Rhinolophus ferrumequinum: one gene and its partners. The protein of the gene in region 1 interacts with the protein of each later gene in a pairwise test. Links are inferred from orthologs where the notes say so. Each region holds a gene or a part of one and is shown in the gene's direction. Other genes may lie near its edges.

Region 1 (7,190 bases):
AACATGGATGGACCTAGAGGGTATTATGCTAAGTGAAATAATTCAGACAAATTAAGGCAAACACCATATATGCTCACTTATATGTAGACGCTAAAGAACAAAATCAACAAACAAAATAAAAAAAGACTCACTGAGAACAAACTGATGGTTGCCATATGGGAGGGGGAAGGAGCATGGGTGAAAAAGGTGAAGGGATTAAGAAGTACAAATTAGTAGTTACAAAATAGTCACGGGAATGTAAAGTACAGCATAAGGAATATAATCAGTAATATTCTAATAACTAAGTATAGTGCCAGGTGAGCACGAATCAAGGGGATCACTTCGTAAATTATATTAATTGTCTAACTACTATGCTGTACACCTGAAACTAATGTGAAATAATACTGAATGTCAACTATAAATGAAAAATAAAACTAAAGTGAATATCAAATACCTCAATACTTTCTTATATTGATTACATGTTGAAATGATAATATTTTGGATATGTCAGGTTAAATAAATGTCTTTAAAATTAATTTCTCTTTTTCCTTTTTTAATGTTAGTAGAAAATTTTTAAATAACGTGAGCTACATTTGTGGCTTGTATTGTATTTTTTCAGGACAGTGGTGTTCTAAACTGTCCTTTCCCTCTTTCTGAACCTAGATAACTCCAATTTTTGAAGACTAGCTCAGGTAACCCACTAAGAAGTATTACAGGACACTCTCGTGCCACCAAGACCCTAAGTCTTGGTGGGTAGTTAGTCAACTACCCTTGCTCCTCTGTGCTTCCATCCATAAGAATCTGCTTATACCTGTCCTACAACACATCACAATGTAATTATTGGTTATCAGCTATCTTCTCTTAAACTGTACGCTCCTTGCAAAAAGGGATATCATTCTACATATACTCAGGGCCTACCACCATGCCTAACACTTAAAAGGCACTCGAAATATGTGTCAAACAAATGTGAACTATCAATTCCTGGCCTGAAAGTTACTAGAATTTCCCCAAGGAAAACAACCAGTAATGAAGGAGCCTCGACTTTCCCAGGAGCTCTCCAGTAATGAAAGGACTCAGGTGATGGTGGGAAGTAGGAATTACTGTAAAGAGAATAGCAATGAGAAAATAAAGTTCATCACACACACTTGCCTCTTGCAGTGAAAATAGGTATTTGCAGCAATGATATGGAGCCATGAACTCACACTTGGCATGCCAGGAGCCACAGTTTGGTTTCTAAATTACTTAAACAACCCATCCAACAAAAGAGTATGATCTGGCAGGTTTCCACACAAACAGCGAGAGCCCCGCACCTGTTCCACTTACATAGCACGTCACTACAGTTAACAACAACAACAAATCTCTCTCACGAAGAAATGCTAATCTCATGATGCTTCACCATGGAGCAATTTCAAAGAGTTACTATATGAAATGTGCCAGAGCATGAATTTATGGCTGATGCTTATTTGGCAAATATGGTTGGTACTGCTAGACGTTGAAAAACATGTATGCAAATAAGCAAATCAAAGTTTTTAAGCTCACAGACTTAAATATTTACATTACCATAAATATACAAAGATAAATGTTTATAGGAATACACGCATAACACATTCCAGGAACAACTTTTTAATGTGATTGTCAGGAACAGTTATGAAGTGGCATTATTTCCTTATGGGCCTCGGGGTATGTTTAAAAATGAATTCTGACAGCATGTTAATGGGGTACAAAAATTATCAAGGACATTTCTTTGTACTGGGTAAAATGAATAGTCATAGTATAATAGTTCAAAGCAATCTTATCTTTTCCTTTCAACAAAACACTTTTCTTCGCTTCCTGGAAGCCAGCCAAGCATAAATGTCAGCCCCTCAATGGAGGGTAGAGGGATGGAGAGGAGGACCACACATCAAAAATCCTTAAAGAAAATAATCTGACATTTTTTCCCACATAATACAGCCATGTTAGAGTCTCCAAAATAAAGACATGATAAAATATTCTCTCCTCTTCCCCTCTGACAGCTATGGAAAGATGTTTGTTTTTCACATAGTTTGTGAGTTGGTCATAGCCAAAACTCACTAGCAATGGTATGAATTCTGCTTCCATTGTTAACTGTTAATCTCTGGGCTGAGACTCTAACTCCATATTTGAAGCCATGAAAATGTACCCTACTTGCCATTATAGTTTACTAAACGAGTCACCAAAGAGAAGTGCCAAGCACTTCAGAAAATAATTAAGGTAGTCAGTGAATTGCACTGTCTAGAAATGTTCTGAGATTACGGAAGCCATCAAGAAGCAGGTATCCAAGATTGCACATGGAAAGTTTTACCCCTGTGGATAATTCACGTAAAACTTCCACACCGCAGAGAGCAATATGGGTTTGCCAAATACACACATTACTACATCATTTCATTTACTTTGGTAGACAAAAATCAGTAGGTAGGCCCCAAAACAGAATCCTCAAGGCCATCCCAATTCGGGTGAAAAGCTGTTGACATACATCATCTAATGACCTAAAAAATAGCCTTGTATGTTGGTCTCCAAATATGTAATTTAACGTATACTCTTACCATATTTAACAGAGGCAGAAGGAAAATGTATTAGGCTTCCTATAGCAAGGCCAATAAAGATGAAATCTAGTTTTCCTTTAATTCGTCAAAACGCCAGCCTTCCAACAACTCCATTCCACAGCTCTCAAATTCCTAAACTTGGGTCTTAAAAATAATAACGGATTGCAAGAAAGTAACATTTAAAGGTGGGAGGGCTCCTCTTTCCTGTTGCTCTCAGCAGTCTTTAACGTCACCAAAGGACGAAACACGAAATCCAACTCTCAGACGGGTGGTGCAGGCGACGGGGAGGGAGGTGGGAAGGGGGTTCAGACCGCAAGTCCCCATCGCGGGAGGTAAGAAAAGTTGCAAGAACGGGATGAGTCAAAGGGCAAAGGAGAAACAAACCGACCAACCAAGCAAAGCCGCACGTTAGTTAGGGGGCTCACAAACCGCAGCCCCAAGTGAGCAGGCAAAGAGCCACCGGTTTCGTCCAGGCGCTGCTGGCTAGGCTGCGCCGGGTGCTCCGGGGATCGGGGCGAGACGTCCATGCGAACTTAGCAAGAGGACGGGAGCCCTTCCTGCCCCAAGCTCCCGCCGGCCAGCTCCCCCATCCAGCCTTCACTTTCCCCACCAGGCTCCCAGCCGCGCCCGGAGACGTCCGTCGCCGCCAGATCCCAACTTTCCCTCCTCTGGGGGGCGCCGAGCTACCGGGGCCGCCGCCGCTGCCGCCACCGCCGCAGGAAGGGGCGCGAGGGGGCGCGCGGTGCCGGCGGGCCCCGGGGGCACAGGGGCGGGGGGGCGCAGGGTTGGCCGGGGCCGCAGAGCCCGCGCCGGGGCCGCCGCCCGAGCCCCCGCGGCGGCGCTCCCCAGACCCCGCGCTGCCCCGCCCGGATTCCCCCCAGTTAGCGCCCTCACCTCGCGGCGACCCTGGTTCCGCAAGCCGGCGCGAGAGGAGAAGGGGACGAAGGGGACGCGGACAGCCTTGCCCCCGTTACCTGAGGGGCGCACACGCCACCGCGGTGACCACCATCGCCAGCCGGCCGGTCCCCTTCCTGCTCACCGCGGCCACCGCCGCCGACCAACTGACACTAACAACAACTAACTACTCGACGCCGCCGAGTCCACCGCGCGCTCCCGGCCGCCCGCCCAGCCCACCAGCCAGCCCGCCCGCCTCCTCCCAGCCCCGCGCACCGCCCTCCGCGCGCGCACTCGCCGCCGCGCTCCTTGAGGAGCGAGCCCGCACGCGCGCACAAGCCCTCGACCCTCTCTGCCCTGTCGCGCCTCCGTCCCTCAGGAGGTATCACCGTGAGGCCCCGCCTTCTCGTGTTCCTACCCCAATAGAATGAGACCTAGAGGGCTTCTGATTGGCTAAGGAGAGTGTGACCAAAGGAGGAGGGCGGGACGACCAGAACCTCGGGCCGGCATGAAGGGAAATTTCGGTTCAAGTAAGTTCTAGAGGAAAAGGGAAACAAAGTATTGGCCCATTTGGTGCCGGAGCCTCCTAGGTCAGCCTGCGTCGAACACGAAACTTGTGTTTTCAAGGACTCCATTCGATAGTAATTGCCAATTTAAGCTACAATACTTACTGCAGACCTTAGCAATTCTTAAAAACTACACTTCCCAGAAACCTTCGCGAAAATAAGTCTCGCTTTGCGTAGTCACGTAGTCCTTCGCCGCTTTTGAACAAAATAATCCCTTCATTTTTCGGAAGGTATTGGGAATAGTATTTCATTTTTCTCCTTACCGAAACAATTTTAAATGTTACTGCGATGAGAGAAGTTGCCTATGGGAAGATAGTTAAACAATTACGTAAAGAAAGAAGGATATCATAATAAAGTATTGCGGAGGAATTTTTTGTCAAGCTGCGAGACGACGGAGTGAGAAGAGTGAATGCGATTGAGAGGGGCTCAGAGAATTGTCCTCTGTGCAGGGACTTTCTTTAGCCCCAGGCCCCTGCCTGCCCCTATCGTCAGCAGGTCAGTAAGCAAGGCGAGCTTGGGGGTGGCCACAGTGGGGGTGCCCTTCACCCCTTGAAGACCATCGCTCTTTTGCTGTTGTTAATTGGTTTGTCTCGGGTTGAGGCCGACTGAATGGGGGCGCCTCACTTCCGGTTGGGGGAGGGGAAGAAGGCCGTCCTGGGGGAGGGGAAACAACTCACTTCCTGTGGGGTAGGGGGATGATTTGGGGGTGTCCCTCCCACACTTCCTGTGCCGGCGAGGTCTTGAAAAGGTGGTGCTTGTTGCCAGTACAGCACGTATTTTAAAGGTTTGGAATTGTGTTTTATGTGAAAAGTTAGATTATTCCACCAATTTATGCTCATCTCCAGCCTCCAGTAAGAATTTATGTGAATTTTGTTTCAATGTGTAAGATGGAAAATTTTCTCACCGACAAAATTTTCTTAATGCGCTCGCCAAAGAATAGAAACCATTTGTTAAAATTCTCTCCTCCTCTTTGCGAAATGACATGCTGTACTTTCTTGTGTAACTCGTAATTGTCCAGCTCTGCTCCCCGACTCACGTCCAACCTTCACCGACAGGTTTAGTGTTCTCTGCCTTGACATGACACAGGAACTCTACAGAACGCGACATTTTACATAAATTATGAGGCATGTTCACCTTACCGGAGTGAAAGTATCATACTGAAGTACTCAAATACTTGGTGTTGCCTTAATTGATATGGTATCTTAAATTTCCTAAACCTGTTGATTTTGGACTACAGGGTTTGCCCTGTGCCTGAGAACAACTTCCTCAGACTTAAAAATAATCATAATTGTAACATGTAGCATTTGTGAAAGTTAGCCGAATACATTTTCCCCCTTTGTGATTTAATTAAATTCAGATCAGTTCAACAGCCGTATCTATTTGTTCTTTGGGGTTTTAAAGCATGGTGCAAGAATCAGGAGATTCAGCCCAGATTTTAAGTGGGGGGCGGGGGGAATTTGGTTCACAAAGGACAAAAGATGATTAAGAAAAAAATTTCTGTTTCCTATATTATCAATGGTTTATAAGTAACTATATGTGAAGTGGAATGAACACTCAACAATTTTTATTTCTTGGCTTCTGTTTTCAAGTACCACAATACTTGGGGTGGGTGGATGTATAACGAAGGAATCAGTCTATTTGGAAATTACGAAATCTCAACAACTGTAGCAATTTTAGAATATCAAGTGAACTGTGATGTTCTTCAAGGATTTTTAAAAGAATGAAGCCAGTGTATTTTTTTCTTTTGAGATTGTTACCTAATCTGTCCTCAGAATTTGCAATTATTTTAATTCTAGTTCTTTTAAAAAGTTACTTTGTTTAGAGTTTATTAGAAAATGTTTTAAATTACATGTTACAATAAAGGGAAAAAATATGTTTTAACCTTCTGTAGACAAGAAAGATCTAAGACCCTAAAAATCAATGAGTTATCTTTTTAAAGACTACCACATTTCTGCAGTAGTTGAAAAGGCAAGACAAAATGTCTGTTGTCATTATAAGGTTACAGACATGTAGACTGCCTCAAGTATTAATTAATTGCTTAGAGAGAAGGTGTTCACTGTCTTCTATATTACTGTAATATAGAGGAAAATATGATATGGTCATTCTGACAAATTAAACTGTTAAACTATAGTATTAGGAATTACTGAAGTAAGTAAAGATTGGAACTAAATGAAAAAGAGAAAACATCGTTAAAATATTGATTGAGATAGTAGTATTGCCTTTTGGAAACTTCGGAAAGCAAAGAAGTTTTTTAAAAAAGAAAGCAAAGTTGATTAAATTGGTTTCTGTGCTGTTTCATGGAATAAGTGCAGTGTAATAGAAATAAGAAAAATTGCTGGGGTTGAAAGACTTGAGCAGCTTGAAAAACTGTTCAGAAGATTGCAATATATAAAGCACATATCTGAGAAAGGATGTTTTGTGATAAGTGGTAGTTATTCATTGGTTCCATCCAAAAAGAAATACTAGAAAAGCTTGTGAAAAATAAAGGGAAAGTCATGGAACCTGCGAACCTGCTTTTAATTCTCTCTAAAAGTGTTTCTGTGAAGAGGATTGCTATCTCCCAAAGGCTTTTTTTTTTTTTCTTAATGCTTTTTGTTGCAGTTTTCTTTGCATGTTCTAATAGAACCATACTATCAAAGTTAGAAAAATGCTTTTGTAAGTGTGCTCTTGTTACATCTTTGAGTTAATGAATTTGAGATTTTCATTCTATTAGTTGCCATCTATAATAAAGAACTTGTCCATTTTTAGAGTGTTTAGATTAGATAACCAGAAGCAGTCATTTGGATACACTGTTCACAGAGGTTTGAAATATTAAAGCAGTAAGTCAAAATTCTGTATTTCATCTCAGTGACATTTGATTAGCCACAAAACACTAGACACCATATATAATGCAAAAGTGTCTTTTCATTCTTTTGTCTACCTTTTTTTGTAAAATCATACTAATGTTTTACAACTATAACTTTTTCGTGTGTTGTTTTAGTAGATTTTGCCATGAGGTCAAGTGTTAAAGAGAGTCTCCTAATAACTTGAATGGTTTTTGAATGGTTTTTAAACTTATTACTCTGCAATCTTTACCTGTACTTCAGGGCCTTCAAGAGTGTTCAAATGAGAATACCTCTTACATGACTTTTTGTGATTTCAACAAAAGTTTACTGTGGGCCTACTGTGTGCTAATCACTGTATTAGGGAC
Region 2 (7,029 bases), on another chromosome or scaffold:
GAGAACTCCACCCATGTCAAAAATCACCGCTCTGTAGGGGCCGCCTCCAGAACGAGTCCATCGCCGGGCTGCCTGGTGCCTGCACTGGTTGTGTTTCAGGAAGGCTGCCCTCCAAGCCCACTGGAGAGGGGACTGGAAAAGCCGCCTTATGCACATGTTGTGGCCAAGGCTGCGTGAGAAGGCACAGGGCAGTTTGCCTCCAATCCAGACTCCCCCCCTGGAGCTCAGGGGTGCCAACTGGACATCTCCACTGACCTCCAACGCTTCAAACCACAACCGGAATTAAACTCGGTATCTCTGCCCTCCTTGACTACTCCTTCTGGGGTCCATAGCTCAGTAAAAGGCTCCACCAGTCACCTAACTGCCCAAGCTGGAAAACTGGGATTCGCCCCTGATGTCCCTGAGTCCCCACCCGGCAACCTCAACTCCAGTTGCTCAGTTCTTCCTCCTGAAAATCTCTACTACCTCTCTCCGCTCTCACTGCCATGACCTCACCCACAGATCATGGCAACAGCCTCCTAAACGGCCCGCTCGCCTCTTCTTGAACCTCCTCATTTTTCCTTCACTCTTCAACCGAGGAATCTTTCAACACTGCAAGTTTGAAACCTCCTATGGCTCCCCATTGTGAGGGTGAAATTCAGGGAATCAATAGCGCAGTTAAACTTAGCTAGTTTCCAACTTCACTCACCGCATAGCTCACTATCTAGCCACCTGTCATTAGACTTAGTTTGCTTGCAGTTTGATCCATCCTGATACTCATCTGTTTTCTCGTTGCTTCTCCCCTCACTGATTGACTGAAGAACTCTGTGCCTTTCCTCAGGCTACCCGTACCTTGTTAATTAACAACATCCTAACCTGAAAAGAGCAGTTTCTTAATCCTTAGGCACTGGGACACTGGAATCCCATCTACAACTTCTTGCAGGTTTTACTGGTGATGCACAGTCGCAAGGGCCAAGGCTGAGTCCAGAGCTAACATCGTCTCCAAACAGACCAGACCCCAGGAAGGATGTCAGCCCTCAGACCTGCCTGACCGACTCCCACTTTCCTATATAAGGAAAAGCTAACCTGAAGTTAGTGCAGCAGCCCACTCTCAGACTCCGGACTCTGCCCTGGCGACACCCTCCCTCCTACACCCCCCCGCCCCTGTTTCTCTCCTTACAGCCTGTGGCAGCCGACATCTTTGGACACTGCCAAGGGCACTTTCTCTCTTCCTAACTTTAATAATAAAACCTTTCTTCTTTCCCACTTTGTGTGTTTTGTGTGAATGCTTTCACCTTTTGTGAATGACCAGGGGTTAATTCCACACCACGAGACCCATTACTCTTATGATAAACTTCCTGAACCTGACTGAAAAGGACCTTTAAGATCTGTGTCCCCTCTTTCTACACCTTAACCTGGATGATCTAGACAAATAAATCTACATGCACCTTCCTGAAACAATATTCTCCTCCTGCTCCTAGGCCTTTCATATGCTGTTTTCTTGGCCTAGGAAGCTACCTTCCACCTGTAACCTGGCTAACTCCAAACTGTCCTGTAGGTGGTAGTTTACCTGTCACTTCCTTCCTGAAACCTCTTCTGGCTACCAGAAAAGACAGATGAGGAGTCTTTCCTGTATATTCCTAAGATACCCTGTATTCACCTCCTCCTAGAAACAAGGATGCCACCGTCACACCATCATCCCGCCTTCAGACCATCACTGCAATGGCCTCTTGTTCTCCATTGCCTCTTTTCTAAACTTACTTTCAAAAGGTTCAGGAAAAAACATACACAACACACACACATACAAGGTCTGACAATTAAGTTCACAAACTTGTTGCAATGATATTGCTAATCTTTTTGCTATCAGAGGGATTATTCATTATGAATTTGTACCGACTGGACAGTTAACCAAGTTTACTATGTGGAAGTGCTGAAAAGGCTGCATGAAAAAGTTAGACGACCTGAACTTTTCCCTAACAATTCATGGCTCTTGCATCACGACAATGCATCAGCTCACACGGCACTGTCTGTGAGGGAGTTTTGAGCCAGTAAACAAATCACTGTATTGCAACACCCTCCCTGCTCACCTGATCTGGCCCCCAGTGACTTCTTTCTTTACTGGAAGATAAAGGAAATATTGAAAAGAAGACATTTGGATGACTTTCAGGACATCAAGGGTAATACGACGACTGCTCTGATGGCCATTCCAGAAAAAGAGTTCCAACATTGCTTTGAAGGGTGGATGAGGTGCTGGCATCAGTGCGTAGCTTCCCAAGGGGCATACTTCAAAGGTGACAGAAGTGATATTCAGCCATGAGGTATGTAGCACTTTTTCTAGGATGAGTTCAGGAACTTACTTGTCAGACCTCATATTTATATCATGTGGAATTCACAAGTCAGGCAGAAATACAGAAGTGATACTGGAGAGCCTCCTCACTATAAAAACTTTAAGTCTCCTTTTCCCTAATGTCTTAGCTCCCTAGTCCCTGGTTGGAATCATTTCTCAAATCAGTTTCTTAATCGTAAACAATAGATTGTTTTTAACTTGAATCATAGAAATATCCTACCCCCTCCTTTAAGTCCCCTAAATCTTGTGATTTATGCTTGTTGTGATTTATCTTGTTGATTATTGTCATTGTAGCAGAGCGTTCTTTCCAGGCCTACCTCCTGGGTAAACAATAACTGAATGACCGATTAAACCAGAAGAAAGACCACAGGCTCCATGAAGCTGAACAAATTATTCGTCACACAGTCTCCCTGCGTCAGTGGCTTTCTGTCCTGCTCGTTGGACCAACACTTTTAACTCTATTAACTAAAATCTATCTCTCCTCATGTCGGGTCCATTAGGATGCCCCACCAAGACTTCCAGTACATTCTGACCACAGAGGTCAACATAGTCCTCCAGGTGGATCCCAAGATCCCTTACCCTCATCTAAGATCAGATAGGGCGAGAGTCCCGTGAATCCCCAATAGGCAGGGACAACGGCCACATTCAGCAGGAAGCAGATACAGAAGAGATCTCCTGTTCCTCAATGTCCCACAGAGACTTACCGGGATCACATCTCTCATGGGGGACATAAAGCAGGCTGTTAGAGGCAGGAATTGGGTCTCTGAGACACCTGGATACAGCAGGTAACATTCCTCCACTTCCAACAGTCTACAAGAAATAACCACCCAAAAGACCTCGGCTCTCCGCCCAAACTTGCCCTTGTTTACCATAACCATTAGCCATTATCAATCACAGGTATCAACCAAGCAGCCCCACAATTAGAGAGGAGCAGCCCATTCTAGAAGAGAAGGAAATAAAAACTCCAAGTCCTCACCAGTCAGCGCCTTTTGAGCCACTCTGTGGCTCAGGCCCACTCCTATCTCTCTTTGGAGTGTACTTGCACTTCTAATAAACTGCTCTTTCACCAGTGTATTTCTGTGTCTCATTCAATTCTTTGCTGGAGATACCAAGAACCTGGACAGGGCGCCGAGAAGGGTCCGCTCCCAGGTCACTTCCTCACCACACCAACAATGACTAGGCTCTCAGTAAACGTTTGTGAAGTGATGGGGCGGGAGTAGGACCCAGATCTATCTCCAGCACTGGACACTTAACAAACCCACCGCCCTACCCTAACAGCGATGGAGACACTGCAATCCAGTCCTTACTCCCCGCGGGCCCTCAGAGAAGCGCATTTACCTGAGTCTCAGCGAACCTATCTGTAAAGTGGGGCTGACACAAAGCATCCAGCCTTGAGCTAGAGCTAGCGGTCAAATAAAACAGAAAGGCACAAGGGCTCTCGACTGAGCGCGGGTTTCTCGGACCATTAGGAGAACTCGCGGGGACGGAGACGTTCCGCCGTCTGCTGAGACAGGCTGAAGGCGAGACCAGGGCGCACACCTACCGATCGGCCTAACAGGGCCCGCGGCGTCCCTCCTTCCCAACCTGCTCCCGATCCCGTCAGGCAGGTTTAGGCTCAGACTCACTTCCACCCCAGCCAATCAGGGCGCGTGCTGGTCTGCGCATGCGTAACCCTGCGGGTCAGCGACGGCGGCCGGGAGGCGGAAGTGGAAGTTGTTGTGGCGCTGAGGGTTGTGCGAGGATCTGCTGCTGCTGCTGCTGAGGCGGCGGCAGTGGCGCTGAGGTGGTGGCGGCGGCGCTGCTCACACCGGGCCGCTCGGCCTGTCGGCTCGCGTCCCAGCCTCTCCTGAGCCCGCCGGGGCCCGCGCCGGCCAGCGCCTGCCCTATGAGTGTGTCACTGGTTGTTATCCGTCTGGAGCTCGCAGAACACTCGCCCGTCCCCGCCGGCTTCGGCTTCAGCGCCGCGGGTAAGTCCCGCGGCCTCGCCGCCTTCCCTGTTGCTCGCGCCTGGGCCCCGGGGGGAGCTGGTCCTCCTAAAGTACGGGCTCCGGGAAAGGCCTCGGCGAGAGCTGTTTCTTCGGGAAGAAGCAAAGAGGGGGCCGGTTCCCTCTCACTCCATCCTTCCTGAAGAGGCCTTCCCAGGTGTGGACGCTGGGACGCCCTTCCCGGTCCCTCCCTCTTGGTGCCTTCCCACGGGCACTCTGTTTCTACCTGGCGCGTCGCCTCCGCCCTGGGTTACAGTCGAGTTTTGTAAGTTGTTTTCCTCTTGGCTTTGTGAAGGCAGGGACTGGATTTCAGCGACGATGAGGGTCCTTGGTTTAATTAAATCGTTCCTCTTTGAAAATGTATTCACTCAGGCTTCTTGTAACAATAGCGATCATTAATAATTCACATTTGTGCATTTCCTGTATCCCAGCTCTGTACCTGTGCGTCTTGTCTTTAATTAACAACTCTTATTAGGTTACATGGGTAGATGCCCCTTTTTACATACAAATTGGGAAACTGAAGCCAGGTGATTGAATGAGTTGCCCACGATTATCTGTAAGTGGTGAAACTGGGATTCTGATTCAGAGAGCTGGACTTGAAGAGTCGGAGCTGTTCCTTACCGGCCACACAACCTCCTTAGGAGAGAAAGGCAGCTATGACTGTTCCTCAAACAATTACCTGACAACATTCATTCAAGAAATACTTGTTGAATGCTACTGTCTGCCGGAGCTTTAGTTGTGTGCAGGATCAGAATCCCTGCTTTATTGGCCCCGGCAGTTCATTGGGGAAGACAGATGAGTTACAAAATAAAGGTAGAATTAGAAGTGTGGTACGTGCTGTGAAGGTAAGAAAGAAACAGTGTGGAGAACTATTACAAGAGGATGTGTTTGGTTTGGGGAGGGGAACTAGAGCCCGTAGGGATGGTGTCATTGGAAACTTTCCCGAGTATGTGAATTTTAGAGCTGCAAAGTAAAGATTGAATATGATTTAATGAGTTACGATGGACACTTTCCAAAGGCTAAAAGTGATCTCTGAGTTCTGAAAGTCAGCCAAGTCCTCATTTGCCACATACACACTTCTACATGGGTGGGTCATTGATTCATTTGGTCATTCAGTAAATCTTTAAAAAGCTTCCAGTGTGTGCTAGGCACTGTGGTGTAAGTGGTGGGCAAAGTAGGCCTTGTCCCTGCCCTGATAGAACTTATCTTAAGGGTATTTCAGTTGAGTCTCCAAATTCCTTTTCCATTTTTGTGTTTCACTGATTGAAGACAGTGATTGCCGATTTTCATAATACAATTCATGGCATGAGGTTAACATAGGTGGTTTAAGTAGACTACCCCTAACGGGTTTTGAAAGTTTTACTTTTTAATGATAATGACTTGATACCTTCCTTTGGGCTCAATACACAGTTGTACTTTACCAGGTATTACAAAAAAGTTGGCTCATCTGGGTATAATCATTCTCAAACCTTTCTTTAAGCTCTTACTCTCATTGGTTTGCTTTAAAGTGAATCGTTTCACTGGAACAGTCCTGCATTTCTGAATTTATTGCACTGGGTGTTTATTGACTGTCTGCTTGGTACTGCAGGAGCCCCAGAGGTGAGTGAGATGGGCACTGCAAAGGCATCTTAATATCTTCGGGGAAGGAAGCAGAGAGAAAAAGGAAACCTATTGGTGGGTACATCGAGAGTGGAGAGGAGCCCGTTTTATTATCAGGTATTAATCATTCATGTGTTCTTTAGCTGGGGAAATGTCTGATGAGGAGATCAAAAAGAAGACACTAGCTTCAGCTGTAGCCTGTTTAGAAGGGAAGTCACCAGGGGAGAAAGCAGCAGTCATACATCAGCATCTTGGCCGTCGAGAAATGACAGATATGATCATTGAGACCATGAAGTCCAACCCAGGTATCCTTTCTAAAATCTTACACCCTGTTTTGTAATGTAAGCCCCTGGTTGCCTGTTTTACATGTTAGTCAGTGAGCCCATGATTTTGCCCTCTAGCATGCTTCTCTCTTTCACTGACTGTGTGCCGCCTTACCTGAGATTGTCGAACCACGTTTCAGCTTCTCCAAATATTTCTCCTAAATTAATCCTAGCAAGCTGGGTTGACAACTCTATTCAGTGAGGAGAGCTGCTTACCACCTAGGTCAGTGGCAAATCATGCATAAATGCAGATAAGCATGTGTGTCTCTCCCTGCCTGCTCTGCCAGCTCACTCCACCCGGAGGAGTGGATGGGTAGCACATCTCTAGCATGGAGGTGCTTAGAACTGGGAGGTTTGGTTTTCACACTTAACAGCCTTGAATGTTTGTCCCACTTAGGAGTGCGTGATGGAAGACACCTGCTTTTATTGTCTTCCTGACAAATGTAAGAGCCATCCTTGAGTTTCTGAGGCTATTAATAAAACTTTTATGGGGCAAAGAGCACTTTTTGGTTGAGATGCCCCAAACACTGTTCTGTGAATATAGGCCTTTTTTTTTTTTTTTTTTTTAAATTGGGGAATATTGGGGAACAGTGTGTTTCTCCAAGGGCCCATCAGCTCCAAGTCGTTGTCCTTCAGTCTAGTTGTGGAGGGCGTGGCTCAGCTCCAAGTCCAGTTGCCGTTTTCAATCTCAGTTGCAGGGGGCACAGCCCACCCTCCCATGCGGGAATTGAACTGACAACCTTGTCGTTGAGAGCTCATGCTCTAACCAACTGAGCCATCCAGCAGCCCCCATGTT
Region 3 (7,245 bases), on another chromosome or scaffold:
AGGGCAAGGTACTGCTCAAGGAACAAAATAAGGTCCTAAAAGACCCTGGTCCTGAGGACAGGGTCCTAGGAGCCCAGGCCTTGAGATTAGAGACGGGCAGCAGGGCAGATGGGGTGGGAACTAGAAGATGAGAAGACACACAGGGCATGTCTTAGCTTGGGCTGCCACAACAAAATACCTTAGACTAGGGGGCTGACTTAACCACCAGACATTTATTTCTCAGAGCTCTGGCATCTGGAAGTCCGAGATTAGGTGCCGACTAACTTGGAATCTGGTGAGGACTCTCTTCCGGGCTTGCAGATGGCTGCCTTCTCGCCGTGTCCTCACATGGTCTTTGTGGAGAGAGCGAGCAATCTCATTCTCTCTTCCTCTTCTTGTAAGGCCACTGATCCTATTGGGTTAGGACCCCACCCTTATGAACTCATTCAACGTTAATCTCCTCCTAAAGGTCCCATCTCCAAATACAGGTACAATGGGGGTTGTTAGAGCTTCAGTGGACGAATTTGGAGTAGGGACACAAGTCAGTCTCTTTGCTCTAGGAGATGGGACACTCTAGTTTATCTTGACCCCTGGAGCTTTCAGGGACGAACCAGGAAGGGGATCCATCAGAATGTGCCTCTGAGTCACACTTCCTGAGTGACCCATGAGCCACATCTGCTTCAAGGGCCATCACAAACACTGTTGGACCTCAGGGATAAGCCAGATGGTCTAATGATCCAATTTCCCCACCTCTGACCCTTCTACTGATGCAAGGCAGGATCCAGAGACTCTTGCCACCGGTGCTGCCAGCGTGTTCTCTGGCTGTTTCCTCTGCTTTGAGCTTTTGAGGTCAGGGGAAAGGCGGGCAGTCAGAGGTGCCACCCTACCCTACGGGAGCATCGCCCACTCTATTCCCGGCAGCCACACTTCTCCCCTCTGTAATTACAAATGGCATAGTGACAGAATCAAAAGAGGATCTGGAAACCAGCAGGCCTTCACTTCCTCAAACATTTGGGGGCAAGGCTTTGTGAGCTAAAAGCACGTTTTTGAAAGATCCTCCCTGGTAGGATACACAATCAAGTTTAGCAAATGATTTTTTTAAATAGTATTTTTTTCCAAAGCCCGTATGGGCCCAGCACAGTGACATCAAGTCTGGCATTTAGATCTGGCTGTCACTGATTCTCATATGTGACCCTGGGCATTTCACTTCTCCAAGCATAGGTGTCCTCATTTGTAAAAGGTGGAAATAATTGCAAGAATGTTGGAGGCTGTATATGGCAAAGTGCTTCAAAAACAATATCATAAAACTAAGTCAGATATTATTAATAATCAGAGTCATACCTGCCTCTAGGTGTTTACAGCCATCGTGTGGAAGACAAATTGTATATATAGCATGGCATCTGTTATGTGGTGAATTGTTCCCCCATACAGATGTTGAAGGCCTAACCCCTGGTACCTGTGAATGTGACCTTGTTTGGAAATAGGGTCTTTGCAGATGATCAAGTTAGGAAGAGGTCATTAGGGTGGGCTCTAGTCCAATGTAACTGGTGTCCCTATAAAAAGGGGAAATTTGGACACAGAGACACACACAGAGGGAAGACAATGGGAAAACATAGGGAGGAAACAGCCATCTACAAGCCAAGAAATACTCACGGCTACAGAAGCTGGGGAGAGGCCTGGAGCAGATTCTCCCTCCCAGCCTCAGAACGAACCAACCCTGCTGACACCTTGATCTTGGACTTCCAGCCTCCAGAACTCTGAGACAATAAACGTCTGCCGTTCAAGCTGCCCAGTTCGTAGTGCTATGTTACAGCAGCCCCAGGAAACTAATACAACACCCTACCCTGAATTTGCTTTCTTACTTTCTCTGGCTTATTAAATGCCACCGAACTTACTGAGTCACCACTATATGCTCTCCCTCCACTAAGCTTCATAAGGGGTTTACAGTCTTTGTTCTGAAGGTGCACTAGACACAAAAAGGAAGACAGCAGGTTGTGTCTCATCTGAGGGAGACACATGCTTTCTTCAGAAGTTCAGAGGAGAGAGAAGTATAATACATGTGAGCGGAGAGGCTGGAGGGCCAGGTGACAGCTGAACTGAGTCTTGAGGGATAGGTAGGTTCCAGATTGGTGGGGAGAGAGGGAGAGTCAGGCCAGTGAGAGAACAGCCCAGCAGCCCGGGCACGGAGATCAGTGTGAGAGGCAGGGTCCAGGAACACGCTCCATCTGTTTTTGTGGTCTCCCTGAGCTTTCTTACCATCCACACTGCCTCTCGCCTGTGTCTACTATGCTCTCCCCTCCTCATCTTTTAAGGCTCAGCAAAACTGTCACCTGCTCTGTGAGTCTTTCCTGACCCTCTCCCCATGAGCTGGGTTTGCAGGGGGTCATATAGCTCAGGCCTCGAGGACAGTAATTGTCGTGCTTTGTGTGGACATCTGCTGCTCTGTGACTGAGTGTGGGAGAAGTGTGCCCTGTTTCTGTGGCAGAGACATCGCAATGTGCTCAGCAAAGCGACTGTTTTCTCCTGGTCACACAGGAAAACTGCAATTCCCAGACCCCTAGCCTCCAGGGACTGGGTGATTAATTCTGATCAGTGAATTCAGGCAGAAGTGATGTGCACGCCCCTCCAGGCTTGGCTTCTAATGACCAGGGGACCCTAGCTAGCGCTTGCTTCTTGCTGTGGGCTGGAAGTCGAGGGGTCAGTGGAGGTTTGGAAGCACTGAAGGAGAGTGGTGGAATCTCTAGATGGAAGATGCTGGGGTTGCTGAACACCTATGTGGAGTCTTCCCCACACCCTCCGACCTGCACTGAAGTGGGATCAGATGGGTGACCACAGCAGAATATAAACTACCCCTGCTAACCACCTGGCTGATGGGCCTGGTCTGGGCACCTGATGGAAGGCTCCTTACCTGGAACCCTATCCTCTGCGTGGATATGCTACAGAAAGCCAAGCAATGACCTTGGCCACTGGTCTACGCTGGGAAGGAAAGAGGGTAGCCCAGGTGCCAGAGCTGGCTCCGTAAGGCAGCACCAAGGTCAGTGCTGCTGATGCCCATGGTCCTTGTTGCATGTAATCCTCACAGCAGGGCTGGCTAGGAGACCAACTCCCTCTGGGTTTGGTTTTACCCTCTGCCTGAAGAGAGAGGCGTCTGGACCCAGACCACCTCGCCTGCCAGCCCCCAGCCAATTCCCCCTCAAAGCCGCCCACCACCGGTTTTTATCTGCAGCCTCCTGTGTAGTGGGAGTTCACTCACCGTGTTTTTGTGGAGGAGGATTGAGTTTTTCCCTAGAGACGCTAGAAAGACAGTTTGTCTCAGTCTAACACTAACGCCCAGCTCCACATTTTTGGCTGTTTCTGTGGTTACCTTTCTTCAGGGATGTTTGGGGTGGGTGGTGGTGGTAGTGGTATATATTTTATTTTCTAAGGCCTGGATTTTCAGGAGCTGCTGGGCGAGGAGTCCCTGATTCTTGCCCTCTCGCGCAGGTGCCATCGTCAGGGAATAGAGGAAGTCTGCAGGAAACACGGTCTGCCTCTCCCAGGAGGCCACGTGTCCCTGGGATTATCTCAGTGACTTCAACCAAGCCCCTTTCTCAGCAGAGACTGAAGACTCACAGCACATCAGGGAGGGAAGGGCCGGAAGAAGCCAGCTCCTCCCGTCCATTTTATAGATGGGGGAACGGAGGTCAGAGAGTCTAAGGGGCCTGCCCAAACCGCCTGGAATTAGCGAGGTCAACCAGAACCCAAGGCAGGTCTCCCTTCTCCCGGCCCCTGGCTCCTTCCCTGAAGAAGGCGAGGGAAGTTTGGTGGTATCTGCTCACCGGACGGGCGTTGGCGGTGACACAGAGGGGCATAGCAAGCGGACTAGGGCGACTCAGGCTCTTCCCCTTCTGGGCAACACGGGCCCCATTTCCTGCCGAGGACTCGGGAGGCGGGGAAACGGGCACCCGGCCGATCCCTCCCGGGCGCCGCCTCCCAACCTCTCCCACACCCGCAGGCCAGAGGCCAAGGGTTTGGGAGGTGGAACCGGTGCTCGGCTCCTCCCCTCACCCAAAATTCCCGCGGGCTGGGACCGGGTCAGAGCCGCGGCTTCGCCCGGGGTGCGCTAAAGGAGAGCTAGGGACCAGCGTGGGACGGGCCAGCAGGAGGCGTGGCCAGAGATGAGGCGTGGCCAATATGGGGGCGTGGTTGAGGAGGGAGCAGTCCGTAGGAAACTTGAGCGCCCGCCCCCAGCCACGCGCCCCGCCCCCGGCCCCGGCCTCCGGGCCCCGCCCTCGCGTTCCTTCCTTCCCGAGGCTGGCAGGCGGGTCGCGTCGGCTGCAGGCGGCGGACCGGCAGACCGGCAGACGGGCGGGCACCTCTACCTCGCTCTCTCCCTCGCTGCTGGCTTCCTTTTGTCTTTCTCGGCGGCGATGAGCGCGGGGCCGGCGCGAAGGCTGCGGGCGCAAGGAGGCCCGCGCTCCTAGCCACACTTCCCGGTCTCGGCGTGCTTGTCCGGGGCAGCGGCCCGCGCCTGCTCCAGCGCGGCGGCACCGAACTTGGGCTCGGGAAGCCGGCTGACCGCGTCTTGCGCGGGAGCAGGTAGGGAAGGGGCGGGCTGCAGGTCTGCGGGGAGTGCGCGGCGTCCGCTGCGATCCGGCTCTCTGCGTGTGTGTGTGTGTGTGTGTGTGTGTGTGTGTGTGTGTGCGTGTGTGCGTGTGTGTTGGGTGGGGGTGCCTATGTTTATTTCTCTGTGCGGTGGAGTTGTGGGTGACTGAGGGCGGTGGTGTGCCCCTGGAATGGGGTGTCCTTTTGGGGATCTGTGTGTGCACCTTTTGGGCTGCGTTTGTGCAATTGTGTGTCGAGGCTTAGTTGCTGGTGGGGACTACGGCGGGGCGGGTGTCGAGTGTGAGCGGCTGTGCGTGGGGCGGGAGGGGCGGGGTGGGCGTGGGCGGTCCAGCCCTGCGCGGGATCCCGGCTCGCGGGGGGCTGGAGCAGTGCGGAGCTCCAGAGCCCTGGAGGTACAGCTGGGATCCCGAGGGCTAGCGCGGGCTCCGGGAGCACCTTAGGCTAGTCCCGCCCGGGGGCAGGTCCACGCGGCCCACGTGGATCGCCTTTTCACTTTGGCTGTGGGAGAGGACCCGCACGACGGCCATCCGCTTCTTCCTTCCGGGGCGGAGGGGCGACGGACAGAGCCCTTTTCTCGAGTTAGGAGCCCTGGCGTCTCTGTGACCCGCACTGGACCAGATACACCACCTTCCCGGGTCGCGATTTGCTTGTCTATCAAATAGGGACAGTTGCTCCCTCAGGGTCTGTCGTGACAGCTAAAATGATCGCTCTTGACCAAGTGCCTGACACATAATAGGTGCTACGTTAATTGGATCGGAGTCTCCCTCTTCTTTTAATCTTTTTTTTCTTTATCGTGGGTAGGGCTCTTACATTCTGCCCCCAAGACCCCACCGCGCGTGTTTTGTGCTTCTCTCCGGGTCCTAACTTACCCGCGAAGCACCGAGATTCGAGAAAGTTTCGGCTGCTGGGCGCTGCCTCCTCGCCGCACGTCCTGGGCGACGCCGCCTCGGGTGTGCAGGAGAGCGCAGCACAGCACCCGGCGCGGGCCCTTCTCTAGCAAAGGCTCCTGCGCCGGAGCGGGACCCCTCTCCTGGGCAAGGCAGCGGCTGCGGGGTCGGGAGCCCTTTTGTTCAACAAGTGCCTAGTCCCCGGGGCGTGCAGCTTGTGGAATTTGAGAGCCACGGTGTGAAAGTGGCGCTCCCCGCAGGGACAGATCTTGGGCTCTCAGGGCGTCCCGGCTGGGCCTGGTCAAAGTGAAGGCCACCCCCTTTGCTCCCCGCAGATACCGGTTCCCCCTAGAGGAGGATGTTTGCCAGGACCGCTAGTCCTGCCTTGGGCCTCCGCATTGGACGCCCTCCGACCCCACCCCCACCCCTCCCTCTCCGCTCCCTTTGATGGCCTCACTCAGGAGGAAGAGGGTCTGCTGGGACCCTGCCTCATAGTCCCACAGCTTAATTTTAAAAATGCTTAGTTTTGAAACCTGCTACTGGTGACATTGAACTGCGGTGAATGTGCACACAGCTCCAACCATGATGCACTCCGGGAGAGTCCTGCCAACAGCACCATAGCACTTCCTCGGACCCAGCAGGGTGAGCTGGCCCCGCTGCCCTACCGCCTTCTGTCAGAGTCAGGGAATCCTTCCTTCCATCTCTGTGGTTTCTGCCTCCCAGGACCCTTCCCAGTCTGAACAACAGATAACCTTTCACCAAGAGAGCAGCTGACCTCACCGTGCAGGAGGCTCTCAAAATGGAGCTGGCGTAGAAAGGGGCAGGGGCATGGGGTCTGTGGGCCTGGCTGCCTCTGGGTCTGGGCTTCGTTTCCCAGTGTCAGGTGCTCCTGCTGGTGTTCTCAGGAAAGCTGGAATACTCTGCAGGCTTTTAGGACACAGGAGCAGAAACCTCTGGTTGGGATCCTCAGGTTTGTCTTCTGCCAGTAGGTAAGCCCTGAGATCTCTGCAGTGACGGCAGGCCGGCGGAACCAAATAAGCTAAGTTTTCATCCTGATTTGGTGTCAGGGGCACATTTAGAATGCAGCCTGTTCCATAAAATGATTTTATACACTAGAGGAGAAAGGGCTTTTGATTTTCATCCTCCTCTTCCCCATAATCAGATTCAATAATAATTAAAAAAAAAAATTAGTCTGGCTTTCTCAGAAGACAGATCAAAAACTGTTTCTCTCCCTGGTTGAAACCAGCTCTTTGTCTCAAGCAAACCAGTGTTTTGGCCCTAGATTTATTTCTGTTTCACTTTTGAAAGTGCCTGTAATTACTGAGCTCCTGAGGTTTTATTGGATAATATGCCAGAGAGAAGGCCCCGGGGCTCTGCCTCTCACTTGCTGCTGGTACCTGATCTAGCCTTGCCTGCTCCCTTTGGGCTCCACTTTTATGCCTTTTGTAAAGTGGAGAATAGATGTCAACGTGTGAGAATTTGGGAGACTTGGCATTGGGAATCAGATGCCCCGAAGGTCATTTGACTTATAGAAAAACAAGAATAAGTCAAAACCCGAGAAAACCAGAGATTCGCCCAAACTTAGCCAATGACCCAGTCATTTCCAACAAGCCCTGGTAGAAGAGAGACTCCAAGAGAAATAGAAGATTTTGGACAGATTCCGTCAGAACTCATCTTAATGCCCCCTTCTGGCCACAGGCCTGTGGAATAAGGACCACATGGACAGGAGTGGACTCCCTGGGTGTACGCCCCCCAGCTGGTGCCTCGAATGGTA

The links. The genes of interacting proteins can lie anywhere in the genome.
Region 2: the proteins of HMG20A (region 1) and BRAP interact in a two-hybrid assay, tested with the Homo sapiens proteins (2 studies listed by BioGRID and IntAct). The link is inferred for Rhinolophus ferrumequinum from reciprocal best matches to the Homo sapiens genes HMG20A and BRAP.
Region 3: the proteins of HMG20A (region 1) and HPCAL1 interact in binary tests that used the Homo sapiens proteins (3 or more experiments, as listed by UniProt). The two-hybrid records come from large-scale screens. The link is inferred for Rhinolophus ferrumequinum from reciprocal best matches to the Homo sapiens genes HMG20A and HPCAL1.

The regions. Positions count from the first base shown.
Region 1 is NC_046289.1:100,470,135-100,477,324, reverse strand, and holds the start of HMG20A (high mobility group protein 20A), read left to right. Parts: upstream 1-4,183; 5' UTR 4,184-4,409; coding exon 4,410-4,495; intron 4,496-7,190. UniProt on the Homo sapiens protein: Plays a role in neuronal differentiation as chromatin-associated protein. Acts as inhibitor of HMG20B. Overcomes the repressive effects of the neuronal silencer REST and induces the activation of neuronal-specific genes.
Region 2 is NC_046308.1:6,973,582-6,980,610, reverse strand, and holds the start of BRAP (BRCA1-associated protein), read left to right. Parts: upstream 1-4,019; 5' UTR 4,020-4,211; coding exon 4,212-4,293; intron 4,294-6,053; coding exon 6,054-6,215; intron 6,216-7,029. Other genes in the region: ACAD10 (acyl-CoA dehydrogenase family member 10), read right to left, coding at 1-169, 3,665-3,711. UniProt on the Homo sapiens protein: Negatively regulates MAP kinase activation by limiting the formation of Raf/MEK complexes probably by inactivation of the KSR1 scaffold protein.
Region 3 is NC_046296.1:65,484,273-65,491,517, reverse strand, and holds the start of HPCAL1 (hippocalcin-like protein 1), read left to right. Parts: upstream 1-4,235; 5' UTR 4,236-4,557; intron 4,558-7,245. UniProt on the Homo sapiens protein: May be involved in the calcium-dependent regulation of rhodopsin phosphorylation.